Linked DNA regions of Styela clava. The protein of the gene in region 1 purifies or fractionates together with the protein of each later gene. This does not show direct contact. Links are inferred from orthologs where the notes say so. Each region holds a gene or a part of one and is shown on either strand. Other genes may lie near its edges. The genes, in order: 26S proteasome complex subunit SEM1-like and ubiquitin-protein ligase E3C-like.

Region 1 (3,407 bases):
TTTGAACAAACTTACTATCATAATATCATGCCCAATGTTAAATGAATCAGAAAATAATAAATACAGTAAACAAAAATATTACAAAACATTTGTCAACATCAACTTTAAGAAATACAACTCCTTCATATTGATTTGATAATTCTTCAAATACTGGAGCAATAGCGTGACAGGGTCCACACCTTTAAAAATAAAAAAGATTATAATCGTTCTACAACATAACACTGCACACAACACTAATGAGGTTCTTATCACTTTATCTGTATGCCACTCGGAAAATATATTACATACATAAATGTTCTAACAACTAAATTTTATCAATTTGATAATATACCAGTAACTCAGACTTCAGAGACAAATTCGATAATTCAAAAATAAACGATTACATATTCAAATGTAATATCTACTATCTATATCTGAAAGACTTACCATGTAGCAAAAAAATCTATGACAACGAGGGATGAACCAGCATCGTTAAAACTGAGTTGAAATGCTGCGTCGTTATCTATATGTTGTACAGGCATTTTCTATCAATTTAGGTATTTGATTATTAAACAATTCGACTGGGAAAAACAAACAACGATTAGCTTTCACACATTTCTCAAAGGGTCAACATTTTATAACAAAACAGAGGACACTCTTTTTTATTAAACATAAATTAACCAACCAGAACATCTGCAGAATTTCATAGCTGATTATATCCAACAATTATTCTGGCAATGAGAATATTTTAGATCAATCTGATATCAAACAAAACCATGAAATGCAATATTTCATATGACGAAAATTGACTAAATAATAGTTACTTGTTCATTGAACATTGAGACAATCTACATTGAATCGAATGTTAACAGCATTCATCACACATTACTAGTGGAAAAAAGTAACATTATGAAGAGCATCTACGTCCAATTTGTAAATAAATGTCAGTCATCATTCAGAGTTACAATTCCCACCAGAATAACTCAAATTTCATATTATACAATGTGTAAATTGCAAGCCAAATGAAAGTCTAGATATAAAAATTGGTGATGTAGGTAGATTTACCTTTCAAATGTTATAGCATATCATATTTACTTTTCAGGCATGGTTTCAGTGCAGGGTACCACAAATAACTCATGATGAAAATAAAATTCAGACACAACTTCATTATAACAAACTTATCCACTGCAAAAAATCTTGTGGTGTACCTATAAATATTTATAGACAAAACACTCCTAACACTCGATTACGCCTAACTTAAATAAAAATTGAAAACAGAAGTTAATCCTTAAATTCAACAAAAAATATACACATGTGGACTTTGTATTGCATGTGTAAGTTCAGAAGGTGGTTTAATTACTGAATTATAAAACGAACAAATTGTCCAAATCAATACCAATAAAGAAAATTCCATTTCATCATCAAGTACCAATGTTAAGCAATATACATTGTATTGTTCAATATTTGCCGTTGATGATAAAATTATGACTTGACTTTCTGGCCGGATTTTTCTAAAATAGCTTTTAATTGTGATGAAAAGTCATCTTCTATATTATCATCATCCCAGTTTTCATCCCAAAATACTTTTGGTTCTTTGTCTTTCCCGGTCCATTCTTCCGCAGGAAATTCTTCAAATTCGTCATCATCTTCTAATGATCCTAGTTCAGTGACTGGCTTTTGTTCATCTTTCTTGTCTTTGTCAGCCATTTATCTCGAAGAATTGAATACTTTTTAAAGAATAAGTTTTATTACTATAATAGGATTTGATAAATCGATAGTAAAGGTTAGGTAAAAAGATGAAAAAGGGGCACACTACTGCACTAAGCATAGGTTTATACTAATATATATTCCTGTAAAACCTTTCATCTCATACGGTATTCAGTATATTTTGAACGATACTTACAGACTTAAGGTTTGTTTACCGGTACTCACCTGATTCTAATACTAATTAAAGAGTGGAAATAATTTTATACTTATACTACACTTATTATCCAATCCATTATCCAGTTTGTTACCGGTATGCAGGTATGATTATAAGATTTTTGAGTTGTTATTACAGTATTAAAATCACAAATTTACAAAAGTTACACAAGAAAAAAATAACAAAAAAATGAATATCGGTATTTCTCACTATTATTATTAAATTACGAGGCATTATAGGTAATCTTATCTTACAATATTCTTACAGTTTTCACGCGCCGTGCGGCTTTTATTTTTCATTTATTTTTTTTAATGAAAAATAACAAATAAAATAATATCAAAAAGAATTACCAACAGTATATTATTAATATGTTATACATGTTATTCAAATCTCCATTCTGCCTTATGATTTTCGAGCAACTTTCATCCCGGACATTCGCACATACATTGTGAACATGACATAGCATGAGTAAGCATAATAATACACGACACTCACTGAACTCTGCTGCCATATAGCGAATGTATAAAATATCGTAAATATTTCTTTATTTATTTATCAACAGAAACAAAAGAAAATCAGGTGATTGATATTTCGCCAACCCTTCTGCATTGCGTGCGTACCGTGTCCGTATCCCTTTCTTCATCTCCGAGTTCAGGCGTAGTATTGGTACAGGTATGGGTACCGTTCTTCTGTACTGGGAGGTTGCACGGCTTAATCTTCAGATTTTTTTTTTTCTATCATAAAGTTTAAAAGTGTACAATCTTCAGACTCATGAGTAATACTAATAGAGTGTCTGAGCAATTAGCGACATGTGTCATTGCGAGCAGCCAGGCATGTCATTACTAAGTTAGCCCTTTTTAATATTTGAACTCTAATGCATTTGTGCTTTGCTTTTGTTTGTTGGCATCTATTATTAAATTTGGCATATAAAATAACTGGTTGAAATTGAAGTAAGGTCTATAAAACAGCTTAATCTTGTTTTGAACTGTCGCCTCGTCTCACAGCCTCGTCAGAAATGAAAAAATTTACTATAACAAATACCGTAGATCAGCGGTTCCCAAACTATGGACCCACTGGTGGGTCGCAAGAAAAATCTCAGTGGGTAGTGAAAAGATGTAGAAAGCTTTGATTAATCATACTGGTTGGTTATTAGCAGTGTTCCCTCTAAGGTGTGCGCGTGCACACAGGACAGCTTTCAGAGGCTGCGCACACGCATAGATTTACTGCACACAGACGTATTTCGATGTAATGTAACAATGTTCTCGATTGGCAGGTTGAGAAAGTTTGTTGTTGGCCCACTTATTACCCGGTTAGAACACCAAAATTTCTTCATTGGTTTTTGCACAAATATTATTCATTTCCAAAAAAGTGCGCACACACCAAAATTTCTGCGCACACATACTACAAAAAATTAGAGGGAACATTGGTTATTAGGATCGGTGACAAAGCAAATTTTGGAATAAACTGCAACTTTTTAATTTTCACGTCTAAAACTATCTGAAATCGA
Region 2 (3,938 bases), on another chromosome or scaffold:
CAACAGCGTTTTTAATCTGTCGCAAGCCTTCTACATCAATCTTGTATGTGTCCAGTTTTTAGTATTTTATATTGCCGCTCTGAAATCCCGATTTAGGTTGCTTGCAGATGCACTTCTTTATCTTTAGCATTATTATATAATGACTCGTTTTTCTCAATGGTTTCACAGTTCCGTATGCAAGGCATATATATATATATATATGGAGGTTGAAGGAAATTTGTGATTATAATCACCGACGTAAAGGTGTTTATGGTCTAAACTCTAAATAACATCTCGAGCTGGCGAAAACAATCGGTCATTTAAAAAAAAATTTGTCGAATGGTATTGCCGACTTTTTCATTTTCCTAAACAAAATTTTGTTCACAGTTAAAGTATACTTTATATGAAATTAAAAAGAAAATGTCCACATCTAGAAACCTGCTCGCGGGCCGGATGAAACGTTGCCGCGGGCCGGACGTGGCCCGCGGGCCGCAACTTGCCCAGGCCTGTACTATGATGTCGGTGGCAATAATTCAACTGGATTTATCGCTCCCTCGAATCATTTTATTTTTGGCGTTTTCACAACCACGATAATTCCACTCTAAAATTATCAAAACCCGGGAGATTCAAATTTTTATTTTCTCCACCTACTTTATTTGTATAAATCAAGACAATTGCTATAATTTATAGACACGAAAGCCACAACGAAGTAATACGGGTACGCAATTTTTTACTGTAGCAGTATCTGTGAACAAACGATCCCGCGACAGAAGAAATTATCTTCAGATGTTACAGTCCCAACGGAATCTTAGCCAATAATAGAGTTAATAAACTGGGCCATGAAGCGCTCAGTCGAGTGATCCAAACTGAGCTCCAATTCGTTGAAGTCACGTCCAAAAGCAATAACTGGATAAATTAGGCTACTTGTCAAAGTCGAGAGGAGGCTTCTAAATATGCTCCCGAGTTCCCGAGTATCCGTATTCCATTCCGTACCGTAAACCTATATAATTCTCAACATAATACCGCAGCTACCAAGTTTCATTTATCTACATCTCACGCAAATAAGACGGTTTCGTGGAGCTTTAAAAATATTCCAACGCTGCCAAACATGAACCAACTTTATAATAGCAGAAGCGTGGACTAATGGCCACCTGTGAAACATCAACCAATCACGTTAAATTCACTTCTGAACGACATAATACTAATTTCGTCGTCACAAACGTTTTTATAATACCGCCAGTGGTGTCGTCATATGAATCGACATAATATTCACTATGACGTAAATGACTAAGCATTCCGACACAAATAAACCCACAAGCGGAACTTGCTGGAAGTCCTACGCTTCAGAATTCACCAGATGTTTTGGGCATTTTGAAATGGGAAAATAACAGGAATCTTTATTGCCAGTGAATACAGGACTGCAGGAAGTATGTACAGTTTTGAAGGAAAATTTCGAACGACGCCAAATGTATCTTTAGGTGGTAAAAGCAAAGAGGTGAGTACCGTACGGTACGGTCTGACTGTACCGGTACCGTACGTACCGGTACCGTATTAATAATAATAATAATCCAAGTCGGGTACCGGTACCACCGGTATGGGATTGGTTATATTGTTTGTTTTCGGAAGCATGGACTTGGTGGTGGAGGAAGCCGCACGGCGTGTGGTTAGATAAGATAAGATTTTATTTCGATTCATTCGCAAAAACAAAATAAACATATATACACCAAAGATTAAGGCGAAGAATCTGGAAAGTGAACAAAACCTAATAAAATAGGTTTAAAACGTATTAAACGCGTTCACTTACCAAAGATTAAAGAAGAAAGAAACGAGTCACAAACACAAACAAATAAACATGAATATTGACGGCAGTCATTACTCAGGCGTTTCACTTGGTAATCAGGTTGTGTGCAATCTTTTCAAAAACAAAAAAGTGAATTCAATATCCGCTGTGCGTGTGATGCGGCATGTAAACAAACAGTCCGAAAAATCCTAGTAGGAGGTGCGAATGCATGTTTCCGTTCCATGCTCAGATGTATATCCAGTAAAATCTACTAAAACGTTAACACACCAATGTAAAAATCGATCGTAAAAAATCCGCGTGCGACGCGCGCGACGGCTGTCGGTACTTGTTATACGGTATTTTAATGGATTCTAATTGATAATTAATTTTATTTGTGTCCTGTTCAGGGTGAACAGAAACCTTCGCCCACCTTCCCACAGAAACCGGCAATAATTCTGAATTCTACAGTCAGACAGTGCTCAGTCTGTCAGTGCGGCGGTGCGGCTCATTGTGCTAAGCGTTAGGAATACGCTCGTCATTGCACCTCTGATTATTCTGCACGGGTTCAAATCCCATGCAAGGATAGTTAGTTATGTGCGAGAGGAATGCGAATCTTCTCTGTATATAATGTATGGTTTTGGCAGATTGCTCTGCACACAATGCCCCGAAATTATTTATACTTACCGGTAATGATTCTACCGAATTTTTCACCCGTTTTCTCAGAGGTAATTTTATATCTATTTACTTTAACTTACCAAATGATGAATTTTTCAGGATAAATTGAACAAGGAAAGACTTCTGCAAAAAGCTCAAAAAGAAAGACAAAAACGAGAGGTTTGTTTATTTTATAATTCTCGTTTTATCAAAGAAAAACGTCTATATCAGGGTTTCCCAAACTGGGTTTCGCAATGACTGCACAGGGGGTCCGCAATGATATGAAGGAAGTCCCATTGATCTTTAATGATCGATTTTAATCCAAAAGCCATTGCATTTATTTGGATGAGCGTTGTGGACAAGTATCCATTGCTGTCATCAAAAGCAATTATAATTTTATTGCCTTTTGAACAACCTAAATGTGCGAGGCAGCATTTTCAGCTCGCTCCGATATGATGACAAAATACAGGTCAAGACTTGCCGTAGAGTTGGATCTGCGAGTTTGCTTGTCACAAATTGCTTTGAGAATCGATAGATTGTGAAGTGAAAGCAACCTAATGCATTACATTATTGTCGTTGTGTTGTAAATGAAACATTATCCTTTCTCGTTGGTTAGACACAGAAATTGATACGGCATAGGATGGGTGTCCGTCAAAACCAAGATTTACAAATAGCGGTTCGCAGCCCAAAAAGTTTGAGAAACTCTGGTTTATATCTGAAACAATGCCAGCAGTTTTTGGATTTAAGTTTAGCCTGAAAAATCTGTATTCAGGATTAACCTATTTCAGACGCCCAATCGAGCCCAATTTTGAATACCCATTTTTATTAATGTCATACGACCCCCAAAATTTACCCAATATACAATAATTATATACCATTGGAAAGGTATTTTAGAGTACTATACGCTAGATGTCACTGGAGGACCGTAAACCAAAACACCTCTTTCAAGAGGTCTCTCGTAACGTCAAAAAATAACAAAAATATTTACACTCTCTCATTCTATCAGCTGTTGGACGTCTATAGCTATTGTAAAGCTGAAATGTGACTATACAGTTGACTGCACATTGGTTTTCTCTTTCATATGATACTAAACGCTTTTCCATAGCGCGCGTTGTTCAAGCGTTTTGGAAATTTTCCGTTTGAGAAGTCACCACATCGAATCAGGCCAGGCTAAGCTTGATAGATCGATCGGTTGTTTGTTTGTGCTTTATCGCGTTGAAAGTTTTTGTGAGTCATAATAAAACATTTATTATGAATCATAAAAGCTTATAATCGTCAGACAAGGAGAATTTGCGAGATAAAACGCTTAACTTTTTTCTGTGAGGCAGCTGCGATCAAACGACTTGATATTTTTATAACTTCCTGACGTTGTGAGATGTCCACTCTCCTATGTTATGTAGCATATAAAATGACCTTCAAAATAAGACCTTATCATACTAGCTTTTGTTATTGGTTAGCGCGCAACGCCAAGGTTTATGGAATCATTTTCTTGTTGTGCGACGTTTTTATATCGCAGCGGGAAGTA

Evidence for each region.
Region 2: the proteins of 26S proteasome complex subunit SEM1-like (region 1) and ubiquitin-protein ligase E3C-like purify together in Homo sapiens (affinity purification with western blotting; 3 studies listed by BioGRID and IntAct, with this or other methods). This does not show direct contact. The link is inferred for Styela clava from reciprocal best matches to the Homo sapiens genes SEM1 and UBE3C.

Annotation. Positions count from the first base shown.
Region 1 is NC_135260.1:14,916,768-14,920,174, forward strand, and holds 26S proteasome complex subunit SEM1-like, read right to left. Parts: upstream 1,811-3,407; 5' UTR 1,687-1,810; coding exon 1,462-1,686; 3' UTR 561-1,461; downstream 1-560. Other genes in the region: thioredoxin-like protein 1, read right to left, coding at 83-179, 427-521. UniProt on the Homo sapiens protein: Component of the 26S proteasome, a multiprotein complex involved in the ATP-dependent degradation of ubiquitinated proteins.
Region 2 is NC_135250.1:32,498,053-32,501,990, forward strand, and holds the start of ubiquitin-protein ligase E3C-like, read left to right. Parts: upstream 1-1,168; 5' UTR 1,169-1,408; coding exon 1,409-1,474; intron 1,475-2,533; coding exon 2,534-2,593; intron 2,594-3,938. UniProt on the Homo sapiens protein: E3 ubiquitin-protein ligase that specifically catalyzes 'Lys-29'- and 'Lys-48'-linked polyubiquitin chains.